Linked DNA regions of Arabidopsis thaliana. The protein of the gene in region 1 interacts with the protein of each later gene in a pairwise test. Each region holds a gene or a part of one and is shown in the gene's direction. Other genes may lie near its edges.

What was found.
Region 2: the proteins of FU (region 1) and PAKRP1 interact in binary tests that used the Arabidopsis thaliana proteins (3 or more experiments, as listed by UniProt).

The regions. Positions count from the first base shown.
Region 1 is NC_003070.9:18,604,549-18,609,554, forward strand, and holds the start of FU (kinase family with ARM repeat domain-containing protein), read left to right. Parts: upstream 1-1,962; 5' UTR 1,963-2,268; intron 2,269-2,488; 5' UTR 2,489-2,514; coding exon 2,515-2,604; intron 2,605-2,689; coding exon 2,690-2,764; intron 2,765-2,859; coding exon 2,860-2,952; intron 2,953-3,057; coding exon 3,058-3,132; intron 3,133-3,209; coding exon 3,210-3,302; intron 3,303-3,707; coding exon 3,708-3,771; intron 3,772-3,859; coding exon 3,860-3,944; intron 3,945-4,128; coding exon 4,129-4,201; intron 4,202-4,274; coding exon 4,275-4,343; intron 4,344-4,450; coding exon 4,451-4,531; intron 4,532-4,688; coding exon 4,689-4,761; intron 4,762-4,845; coding exon 4,846-4,998; intron 4,999-5,006. Other genes in the region: AT1G50220 (B3 domain protein), read right to left, coding at 1-27. UniProt on the Arabidopsis thaliana protein: Plays a role in conventional modes of cytokinesis in meristems and during male gametogenesis but also acts in nonconventional modes of cytokinesis (cellularization) during female gametogenesis.
Region 2 is NC_003075.7:8,159,210-8,167,040, reverse strand, and holds the start of PAKRP1 (phragmoplast-associated kinesin-related protein 1), read left to right. Parts: upstream 1-1,826; 5' UTR 1,827-2,032; coding exon 2,033-2,311; intron 2,312-2,607; coding exon 2,608-2,742; intron 2,743-2,834; coding exon 2,835-2,918; intron 2,919-3,022; coding exon 3,023-3,148; intron 3,149-3,244; coding exon 3,245-3,304; intron 3,305-3,399; coding exon 3,400-3,453; intron 3,454-3,536; coding exon 3,537-3,629; intron 3,630-4,043; coding exon 4,044-4,139; intron 4,140-4,277; coding exon 4,278-4,423; intron 4,424-5,053; coding exon 5,054-5,203; intron 5,204-5,284; coding exon 5,285-5,414; intron 5,415-5,489; coding exon 5,490-6,686; intron 6,687-6,799; coding exon 6,800-6,898; intron 6,899-6,982; coding exon 6,983-7,135; intron 7,136-7,207; coding exon 7,208-7,831. UniProt on the Arabidopsis thaliana protein: Plus-end directed kinesin-like motor enzyme that plays a critical role in the organization of phragmoplast microtubules during cytokinesis.

The DNA.
Region 1 (5,006 bases):
CCACCGGTCCCAATGCTTTATCTTCATTATCACGTAATGGTTTGGTCCTGAACAAAGAAAAAAAAAACATATGATAAGATCATAAAGAACTAATGTCACAATGAAAACTGAAAAGCAATTTGAATAAGTTAATTAATGCCAAAATCAGATAAATAAAATCGTTAGTCATTCTCATTTTCACAGTAAAAATATGAAACACAGAATTATTAATGATGAGACTTAAAAGGTACATACATGTTCCTCCTATGATCCGAAAAATTTCTGAAATGCCTACAAAATTTTGGAGGCTATATATGCTCATCTTTATTATATCAATCCAAAGTGTAGCCACTTTCTCACCAAAAGAAGAATCTCGAACAGAGACTTTAAAAACATTAAACATCGGATCAAACCTATTAAAACCCTTGTTGAATCAATTTAGGTGTTACATCTTTGAGAGAAACAGTAACCGAAACAAATTAAAAATTTTACTTGGAGGTGGGGGTTTACATGCACGTGCTTTGCATTTCTTCTTCAAGCCTAAAGCAAACGCGGACGCATATAGCAGAGAAGACGTCTGCAATATGCTTTCGTGTGCAAGCAAGTATGATTTTGGCGGTTGGGAAGTTTTACAATCGTTTGATATATATCATGCACGGGTAAATGTATAAACTACCGTATCCATAAATTATTATCATATTAGTCATTTTTAATTAATCGTAAATAAGAAATAAATAATAAATTTAATTAAAATTTAAATTAAATTAAATAAACGAATAGTAGCAAACATAAATTAACTGTTCGGTTGATGGACGTTAACGTTTCGTCATCTTTTAAAGATATATAAATTTGCTTATTTTATTGTGAATTTGAAACCATTTCCTTTTGCTTAAGATTTCTTAATGATATCACTACAAAATTGATGAGTTTAACATCAGTTTAAAAAAAAATCTTAATATCATTTTTAAAATGATGCTCGAATTATAGAGTCATTTTAAAAAGAGATACTAAAACTAGTGAAGGTAAAAAATATTTAGTATCATTTTTTCAAATGACACTATAATTCAATCTTAGAACATGATTGGTTGGGATGTAAAAGATTTATAAAGCCACTAAAAAACCTACAATCAATATTGAAACAATCATGTTTTAACTTTCCTATTTTTTTCTCACACCCCAAATACTATATATTTATATATATATTTTAATTATTTTGGCTGTAAGTGCAAGTTTTTCTACAGCATAACTTTAAGATTTTTAGAAGGTCTATATTTTTTTTATTTTTTTTTTCACTTTATTTTTTTATTTTCTTTAAAAATATTACTATATTTTATATATATATATATATTAAATTTAGTTATATGGATATAAATAGTAGGTAAATACCTACTTTATGACATATATAACTCACATTGATAATTGGGAATAATATTATATAAAGTATAATTTACCAATAATATTTTTTTATTTAAAATACATACTATCAAAATCTTATTTCTACAACTAATTTATTTAAATAATTATATTATATCAATAAAATATACATCCTAATTTTTACAACAATAAACCCTACGACTACAGTCATCACACCTACATCAAAAATTTTATAGTAATAAATCTATAACTACATACCGACGAACCAATCACCCACTTAACATCATTTCTTTTTGTTAGTATCATTTCTTAAAACGTTTGTATAGATATTGCTAGGTGTCACTTTGAAACGATTAGAAAATATATAGTTTGTTTCATAATTTGAAATTGACGTTAATTATTATAATATTAGTTATAAGTTTTTTTTTAATGTTATGAATAATAATCGGTGATTTATGTGGAACAGTGGAAACAATATTTTATTTATAATCAAAATAATATTTTAGGAACCAATTTGGAAAATGATAAATAATTTATATTTTTGAGTTCTTTTGTTTTTAAAATAAACCGGAAATTACGACTTGTGGTTTGTTTTTACTTTTTTATAAGGTTTGAGAGAGAGAGAGAGAGAGTACACACTACTCTGACTCAAAGATTTTTCCCTCTTTTTGAATTTCAAAAGTTTCCGAGAATATCCAAACGCAGAGTTTATCTCTCTCTTCAACCATCGATCCAACGGATCTCTCCTAGTTTCACCGCCGAAGACCTCCTCCGCTGTTTCTCGTCGCCGACTTCCCAGTTCTACCATCTCCGGCAGCCACCACTTCGCCTATTTTACGCATTTTCGTGAGCCACGGTTCAATATTCTTCTTTACTATCTCAAATCTTCGATTTCCCCGTTTACTCGCCAATCAGGTTTAGGATCTGCATTTCAAGCTTAATTTGGATGTTTCCAGTTTTTCGATTCGCTACTTTTTGCTTATGCTAAACAAGAAATCGGAACGGAACCCTAGTTTAGAAACTAGCTTTTAATCGAATTAGACTGAATATAGTAGACTCTCCCTCAATTCTGCTTATTTGGGTCTGGGTACCGTCATTTTACCGTTTGAAGCTAAAACGGTGCTTTATTTGACAGATAAAAAAAGCCAATCGTGTTCAGATATGGGTGTCGAGGATTATCATGTGATAGAGCTTGTCGGTGAAGGATCTTTTGGGAGGGTTTACAAAGGAAGACGCAAGTATACCGGCCAGGTAAATTGTTGCTGGGTTGTTCTCTTTGTTATCATCGGCTACTTAAAATCAGCTAATCAATTCTTAATTTGGTAATTTTTATCAGACGGTGGCGATGAAGTTCATCATGAAACAAGGAAAGACTGACAAGGATATACATAGTCTAAGGCAAGAAATCGAGGTTAGCAAGTTTCAGTCCTTAATTGCACTTACCATCAACTTTAATCCCAATCAATTTTATGGTATTTGACCAACATTATTTCTTTTATGCCTCAGATATTGCGGAAGCTCAAGCATGAGAATATCATTGAAATGCTCGACTCCTTTGAAAACGCACGAGAGTTCTGTGTCGTCACTGAGTTTGCCCAAGTACTTTTCTCACTGTAGATTGTAGAATCTAAAGTACTGATTTATGAAGCATATAGCTAGACTTATATGAAATAAAGAATCACCATGGAACACCCAATTTTACAGGGTGAATTGTTTGAGATTCTTGAAGATGACAAGTGCCTTCCCGAAGAGCAAGTTCAAGCAATCGCAAAGCAATTGGTAACACGTTTTGCCAACATGGCTCTTATTTCTATATCTGATTATTAAGACAATTTTGAAACTTCTTTAAAATCCAGGTAAAAGCATTAGATTACTTGCATTCCAACCGTATAATTCACCGTGACATGAAGCCACAAAACATTCTTATTGGTGCTGGCTCTGTCGTTAAGGTAATATAACATTCCTTTTGCTGCTTCCAGTAATTAAGTTTGAAATGCTGTTTCTATGCTTCCCACACACATGAGTTGTTCATATTCTTGTTTCTTAAAGATAAAATTTAGGAGAGAATTATCGTTACAATACGATTCTTCTACTTTTTTCCTCTTCTTATGAGTACCAGATTACGTGCTAACTTCTTGAAAATTGATTTATGAACCATGGATCTTTCCGTCTATGATTATTTCAGAAAACTAAGTTAATCATGTGAGTACTAGAAGAGGATACGGCTAGCCAGGAATCTCATACACTTAGCTAAATATAAGTAGAAACATAAGTATTTTCAATGCGGCTTGATTATATGATTTCTTTAACTTCTCTTTGCCATCAACTAACTTGTCTCCCCTTTGATTTTTCAGCTATGTGATTTTGGTTTTGCTCGAGCTATGTCCACCAACACTGTGGTTTTGCGATCCATTAAAGGTTAAAGATCTTTAATTTCCTTAGACGTATTAATGAGTGAATAAATCAATAAGTCTCTCCTTGTTATTAATCCAAAATATCACATCAGGCACTCCGCTGTACATGGCACCAGAGCTTGTGAAAGAACAGCCATACGATCGCACTGTCGACCTGTGGTCTCTTGGTGTTATATTGTAGGTGGAGAAACTCATCTGAGTTGTCGTACTTCAATTGTTATTGTTATGAAAGCTATTACATCTATAAATGTGATGATTCTGATGGCTTTTCTTTCATAGTTTTTTGTTTTCTGTATTCTTTATGTTATCCACATTTCAATGCACTTGATATGGTTCTAATTAATCTCTTGTAATACATCAGGTACGAGTTATATGTAGGTCAGCCTCCCTTCTACACCAATTCTGTGTATGCTCTCATTCGTCACATTGTTAAGGTATATCAATATTTTTTTATTTTTCCATAGTCTATGCTTAAAGTATGAGCTAACGTTTTAGTGAATCTTCAAGGATCCTGTCAAATATCCTGATGAAATGAGTACTTATTTCGAAAGCTTTTTGAAAGGATTGCTCAACAAGGTGATATATTTATTTTTTCTTTAAGTTGTCCTTTTTACCATTTATTGATATGTTTGAGACCATTGCTGGACTGGGTTAAACTGTTTTTCTATTACTATGCGAAACAGGAACCCCACAGTCGATTAACCTGGCCTGCTCTTCGTGAGCACCCTTTCGTTAAAGAAACACAAGAAGAAGTTGAAGCCAGGGTAATGGTCTGATATTGATGACTTATACTTTGCAGCTTGAGTCCAATGTACAGAGCATTTTGTTAAAACTGTCTTTTTCATGCAATGTAACGGATCTCAAATTAAAACATGTTGTTGGAATAATAGATCACTAAGAACATTTTGAACGCCTATTCAGGAAATCCATACTGCAGTAGTTGACAATAAGGCAGCTTGGATGCTCAAAGGAAATGGAGGGCAACAGAGAAATGGTTTGAATCTCTTCAGTGTGTGGTTAGAATCTATTTCTTAATTAATTTTCTCCTTTATTAAATTTATAGTGTTAAATGTCACAGAAAAGTGCGACTCAGTGACCCTGGTTGAGGACATGTCTGCTACAAAAGGTCTAGCTGACGTTCAGTCAGATATGAAGAGTGCTGTCAAAGTAAATTCTCCACCCACTGAGGATTTTGTGGGATTCCCAACCCAAGAGGAGATAAAAAGTTCAGGTAGTGGG
Region 2 (7,831 bases), on another chromosome or scaffold:
GTTTTAAATTAAAAAAAAAAAACATTGTCTTTTTAGTGAAAAAATTTCTCGAATTAATTTTTTTCAAAAAATTAAAATTTTAGAATACAAGAAAATCATCAACGCTAGCAAAATTTTAACAAATCTAACATGATTAAAAAACTATGGGATTAATTATAAGCCATAGAAACTTAGGTTTTGTTTTGTAGACTTGAATGTTTTTCATAACATTGTTTATCCAACATTGACGGATTTTACAAAGTATGGAAAATGTTATGTAAACGTACATTTTTCATGGATGATTCTTTTGAGCTCTAATTAAAATCGGTCAAAAAAAAAATTATGTAAACGTACATTAGGGATTACTAGCACATTTAGCATATGTTTTGCTAATTTTTCATGTCTCTCAAACATTATAGGGATGTTGTTGACAAATTTTTCGAATATGGCAGATTTTATAAATGTTCGTGAGTCAATGTGTAAAATTTAGAGAATTATAATACGGTTGGATTTATTTTGGTTAGTCTCCTGTGTTTTCTTAAAAGATACGTGGTTTTATTGGCAGATTTTACAATATCCAATAGATCTTATGGAAATTATGCAAGTTGTAATGCAAAGATTACTAGAAGCCTTAGATTATTTATTTATGCTAGTTTGCCACGTTTCTAACAAAATTTACGATTTTATTTGTATAATATGTAAACATAGCAGCATACTTAATGAAAGTGTGCAAGTAGTTGTGAACTTTAGGAGAATATTTACATATTTTGACTAAGCATGATACTCTATCTTGTGTCAGACAAATTTTGTGGTTTTATTGGCATACTATATATGAGAACATTCGTAACAAAATATATATATATATATGAGAACATTCTTTCGACTTCAAGTACATGGTGAATAGTTGTGAAGACTTGAGAAGATTTTATAGTAGAATAAGATTTTGCCTACTATTGTACCAAGTTATCAGCATAATCTGCTAATCTTTGGCAGATTTTATAAAATTTGCAAGTGGTTTTGTTTACTCTCTTGATATTATTAGCAGTTTAGCACACGCTCCCAAGTCCGGAGGACCTGACATTAGTTTCAATTCATGCTTTATCATGTATGAATTTTTTTATTTTTTTTTTAAATTGCATGAAGAATTTCAATTCATGCTTTATCATGTATGAATTTTTTTATTTTTAATTTTTAAATTGCATCATCTTCAATGAATTGTCTAGTATTCAATGAATTTTATGACATAAGAATCACTTACTTCAATTTTGAAGAGATTGCTCATCGCTACCATCGAATTTTGTATTTTTTGACACTCATATTAGCTCTTCATGTCGTTGGTAAGACTAAATTGTAAGTAAATGACTAAATGTGGTCGCATCTGTGCTATTGACTTTTAACCCAAAAAAAAAAAATCTGTGCTATTGACTAATTTACTGCTTTGATGATTTTGTCGTTCGAACTACATTTATTCACAGTCAAAGACATATAATATAGTTGAAGATAGAAATGAGTACTACTGCTGCCCAATGACAACCACTAAATCTGCAACCCACGATACGATTACTCGCGAGCCATGCTTCGTAACGGGTCAAAAGTTTTAAACCCATACCCGCTCCATAGCGGATGGATTGGATTTTTACGCGCGGTGGATCTTAAAAAACCCGTGCGGCAGTATTACTACCACACGTCTAAAGACTAAAACACACACCATTAAACACACACGTGGGCCTTTTCTTTTTTTGTTGCTCATTCCCTCCGTTGGATTCATCCTACGGCCATAAAGTCACGATCACATAAAATTCATTTCTTTTTAAATAAAATAATTTAGAAATTCATGTGATGCGAATCGTCAACACTTCACAAGATCTGACAAAAACAAATTCAAAATTCTCGCTCTTTAACGGCTCTCTCTCTCTTCTCTTCTCTCGTTCTTCTTCCTCTTTTCTTTGCCCAAACACTAGGGTTTCACTGACGCTCTCGTAGAAGCGCAGATTCGATTTACTTTCCCTCTTTCTTCTACTTTGGGTTTCTAATTGTAGATTTCACGGCGGAGATGAAGAAGCACTTTACGTTACCAAGAAACGCTATCTTACGCGACGGCGGAGAGCCACACTCGCCAAACCCTAGTATCTCGAAATCGAAGCCTCCACGCAAATTAAGATCCGCCAAAGAAAATGCTCCACCTCTAGATCGGAACACGTCGACGCCTGACCATAGGTCGATGAGAATGAAGAATCCGTTGCCTCCGCGTCCGCCGCCGTCTAATCCTCTTAAACGGAAACTTAGTGCGGAGACTGCGACGGAATCTGGGTTTTCAGACTCAGGTGTCAAGGTAATTTCACCCTTTTCTCAGAAATTAGGTATTATCGAGACAAAATTTCTAATTAAGTAATGTTGAATCATATCTTTGAATTCACCCCAATTGAAAGATTGTGTAGTTGCTAGAATTGGTTAGGTTTCTAATTGGAGATGGTTTGTGTACTTTCTAAATTTGGTTACGTTTCTAATAGGAGAGGTGTAGAGTGACTTGGTGAAGGCTTAGGTTGTTTTAGAACATAGCTCAATTGTGAAATTCCGTACTCATTTATAATGAGGAAGAGAAGGTGATCAGATTGAGCCAATTTTCAGGTTATAGTTAGAATGAAGCCTCTAAACAAAGGGGAGGAAGGTGATATGATAGTAGAAAAGATGTCCAAAGATTCCCTCACAGTTAGTGGACAAACTTTCACATTCGACTCAATTGCAAATCCGGAGTCGACACAGGCAAGATATCTGTTTGCATGATTCTTGATATTATTATGCTATGTCATTGTATGATTCCGAATCTCTAACTTTGTCTTTTGTTTCTTCCTCAGGAACAAATGTTTCAGCTTGTGGGAGCCCCTCTTGTTGAAAATTGTCTATCTGGATTTAACAGTTCTGTATTTGCTTATGGACAGGTAGTTTTTATTTTCTAAAGTCTTCCTTTGAGGCAGGGTTCCATTTATTGGATTGTTTGATTGTAACTTATTGATTTAACTGATCATGAAATTATTTCTCTCAGACTGGTAGTGGAAAAACATATACCATGTGGGGTCCTGCAAATGGATTGTTGGAAGAGCACCTCTGCGGTGACCAAAGAGGTTTGACCCCACGTGTCTTTGAACGATTGTTTGCCCGAATCAAAGAGGTGATGCCTGGTTTTGTTCAATTCGTGGTTTTGACCTTGTTCAATTATTAGCACATTAAGAAGAAGATTCTTCTTGTTTCTTTTTTTGGATTGCAGGAACAAGTCAAGCATGCTGAAAGGCAACTCAATTACCAATGTCGGTGCTCATTACTCGAGGTTTAGTGACTGGCTGCATTACATAAGTTTGGATGGTGTTTGAAGGTTTCATTTTATAGAGTTTGATATATAATTTCATTCTTCTTCCTTTTCAGATTTACAACGAGCAAATAACAGACCTACTGGACCCAAGCCAGAAAAACCTGATGGTAAAATGAACTTTCAAATTTAACTTGGTTTATATTCTGTAGGAAAACATGGGGTTCATCGTTTTTCGTTAATGTGTCACCAGATTAGAGAAGATGTCAAGTCAGGTGTTTATGTTGAAAATCTGACTGAGGAATACGTAAAAAACTTGACAGACGTGTCACAGCTTCTGATCAAGGTTTGTTATTCTTTTTGGTTTCTCACTGCAGTACTGCACCTTAAATCATGTTTGCTTTGCAATATTTCTTAAGTACTTAATCAAACTTGCTGCTCTAAAAGTACACAAAATACAATTTCCGGTATCATATCTTTGTAATTCTATTAAGTTTTAATGAAGCAATGTGAAAACTTGTTTTTGTTAGAAAGAAGAGATTGCCACAGATTATATAGAATGCTGCTACTGGGGTTTAACGTTGATGTTCTGTTAGTGATGCTGTGTGAATCAAATGATCTCACAAAGCTTACATTTTATAGTGATAGTTAAGAGAAATTATTGTTCCTTAGTTGGCAATATATATGAAACGGTCAACATATTTTCTCTCCTGATAAAAATAATATTTGATAGCTATACTTGTGTCTGAAACTGGTGTAGGGTTTGGGAAATAGAAGGACTGGTGCAACGAGTGTAAACACAGAAAGTTCAAGGTCACATTGCGTATTTACTTGCGTTGTTGAATCTCGGTGCAAGGTAAGCTACTCTTCTACATTAAATTTTTCATATACTGGCTTTTTGAGATTTTTTCATTTGTTTTTAAGAAAATATATAGAGTAGTATGAATGTATGATGGAATATACGTCTGACTTCTTTAGAATGTACTTTTTGCAGAATGTTGCAGATGGCTTAAGCAGCTTTAAGACAAGCCGAATAAACCTTGTTGATCTGGCTGGTTCTGAACGACAAAAATCAACTGGGGCAGCCGGAGAACGTCTGAAGGAAGCTGGGAACATCAATCGATCGCTCTCTCAGCTGGGGTATGATTCAGAGTAGTCTCTCTTGTTATTTTTGGATCTCAGTTAGCATGGAATTTTCGTTAATTTTATACTGCAGGATGCACTAAAGAACTGACACTTAGCTTCTGCTGTTCTTGTGTCTTCTAGTTTTTGATACTGCGGCAGGCACTAGAAATCTAGTTTTTGATTATAAAAGAACTGAAAATTTGGGATAATGGAAAATAATTTGAAATATGGTGGTAGTAGCTTATGAGGATCTTGTGTCTTTTGAGCAGTGCTTTTTGATATTTAATTTTAGAACAACTATCTCTCCATGTGTTGTTGTCTGATGATTGTCTTATCAAAGTGGATTTATTGTATATCCTTTACCTTTTTGCTGAGGATCTAAAAATACTTTGGGCTTCCCAGAAGTTCATATTTATTTGTTTGAAGTCTTCAGACCTCAAAAATGGCAATTATTTGTCTGCTGATTGTCTTATCAAAGTGGATTTATTGTATATCCTTTACCCTTTTGCTGAGGATATACAAATTTTGCTTGGTAAAAAGAAAAAGATTTGCTTGGTTTGTTCACCAGTCCTGTTATTGGCAGGATGTTTACCACAAGATGAAATTATCAACTACATGTTTACCATATAAATTTGTTACGTGCAGGAACTTGATTAACATCCTCGCAGAGATTTCTCAAACAGGGAAGCCAAGGCATATACCTTACAGGGATTCCAGATTAACATTTTTATTGCAAGAGTCTCTTGGTGGGAATGCAAAGTTAGCAATGGTTTGTGCAGTTTCTCCTTCTCAAAGGTAACGCAGGACCCCTATTTCCACTTCAGCAATTATTTTATCTCCATCTTCTAGAATATAAAGTATATACGAAAACTGCAGTTGCAGGAGTGAAACCTTCAGCACCTTGAGATTTGCTCAGCGTGCAAAGGCAATACAGAATAAGGCTGTTGTCAATGAAGTGATGCAGGATGATGTAAATTTCTTGCGTGGAGTGATACACCAGCTGAGGGTACGGATTCTTTTACATATTTTATAAGATAGAAATATAAATATGAATATGGCTTTTAATGGATAAATTGTGCAGGATGAACTACAAAGGATGAAGAATGATGGAAATAATCCAACCAATCCAAATGTTGCTTATTCCACTGCATGGAATGCACGTAGAAGTTTGAATTTATTAAGAAGCTTCGGTCTGGGTCATCCAAGGTCCTTACCTCATGAAGATAATGATGGTGATATTGAGATGGAAATTGATGAGGCTGCTGTTGAAAGGCTTTGTGTTCAAGTGGGTTTGCAATCATCTTTAGCTTCTGAGGGGATCAATCACGATATGAACAGAGTAAAGAGTATACATTCATCTGATGGCCAATCTATAGAAAAGCGGCTTCCTGAGGACTCAGATGTTGCCATGGAGGATGCTTGTTGCCATACTGAGAACCATGAACCAGAAACCGTGGATAATATGAGAACTGAGACAGAGACTGGCATCAGAGAAAATCAGATCAAGACACACTCGCAAACTTTAGATCACGAGTCCAGTTTCCAGCCTCTTTCAGTCAAGGATGCTCTTTGTTCTTCACTGAACAAGTCAGAGGATGTGTCATCATGCCCTGACTTAGTTCCGCAAGACGTTACTTCAGCAAATGTATTGATAGCTGATGGAGTAGATGATCCAGAGCACTTAGTAAATTCTGCATCTCCCAGTCTTTGTATAGATCCAGTTGGTGCGACTCCTGTATTAAAATCTCCCACACTGAGCGTCTCTCCTACGATTAGAAATAGCAGGAAAAGCTTGAAGACATCAGAATTGTCAACAGCATCTCAGAAGGATAGTGAAGGAGAAAATTTAGTTACAGAAGCTGCGGACCCATCTCCGGCTACATCCAAAAAGATGAATAACTGTTCTAGTGCTTTGTCTACGCAGAAGAGCAAAGTTTTTCCTGTACGGACTGAGCGGTTGGCATCTAGCCTCCACAAAGGAATTAAACTTCTTGAGTCGTATTGCCAGAGTACAGCTCAAAGACGATCGACGTACAGGTTTTCCTTCAAAGCTCCAGATAGTGAGCCTTCGACCTCTATAAGTAAGGCTGATGCAGGTGTGCAGACCATTCCCGGAGCTGATGCAATATCAGAGGAGAATACAAAAGAGTTTCTGTGCTGTAAATGCAAATGCAGAGAACAATTTGATGCCCAGCAAATGGGTGACATGCCAAATCTTCAGTTAGTACCTGTTGACAACTCGGAAGTGGCAGAAAAATCCAAGAATCAAGTTCCCAAAGTAAGAACTGTGACTTTTTTCTAACATAGATTTAGATAGTTATTCACAGTCTTATTTTGTTTCCACATTTCTATAATTGGTTCCTCCAACTGATCGAGTTTTACACTTTACAGGCAGTAGAAAAGGTTCTAGCAGGTTCTATCAGGAGGGAAATGGCTCTGGAAGAGTTCTGCACTAAACAAGCCTCTGAGATAACCCAACTTAACCGACTGGTATGATACTTGCGTCTTTTTCTGTTTTTAATCTCCCTTAGTAACTGTATCCTCAAACATAAATTGGTCCAAACCGTGTAATAGGTACAACAATACAAACATGAGAGAGAGTGCAATGCCATCATAGGACAAACAAGGGAGGACAAAATTATTCGCCTTGAAAGCCTTATGGATGGCGTATTATCTAAGGAGGATTTCCTTGATGAAGAATTTGCTTCTCTTCTCCATGAACATAAGGTAATTGTGGCTTCTCGTTTTGTAAAAGGGTATTTGATTGCATTACCCTTTTACTGACATGTAATGTTGCAGCTTCTAAAGGACATGTATCAGAATCACCCTGAAGTGCTTAAGACGAAGATTGAGTTGGAAAGAACGCAAGAAGAGGTCGAGAATTTCAAGAACTTTTATGGTGACATGGGAGAACGGGAAGTGTTATTGGAAGAGATTCAGGATTTGAAGTTGCAGCTGCAATGTTACATTGACCCTTCTCTTAAATCAGCTCTGAAAACGTGTACCCTGCTTAAGCTTTCATACCAAGCTCCCCCAGTTAACGCTATTCCTGAGTCACAGGACGAGAGTCTTGAGAAGACATTAGAACAGGAAAGACTTTGTTGGACAGAGGCAGAGACCAAATGGATTTCTCTCTCCGAGGAATTAAGAACTGAGCTTGAAGCCAGTAAGGCGCTGATTAATAAGCAGAAACATGAACTTGAAATTGAGAAAAGATGCGGGGAGGAGTTGAAAGAAGCAATGCAGATGGCCATGGAAGGGCATGCACGGATGCTTGAACAATATGCAGACCTGGAAGAGAAGCATATGCAATTGCTTGCAAGACATAGAAGGATTCAAGACGGAATAGATGATGTCAAAAAGGCAGCTGCAAGAGCTGGAGTCAGAGGAGCAGAGTCCAGATTCATAAATGCACTTGCAGCA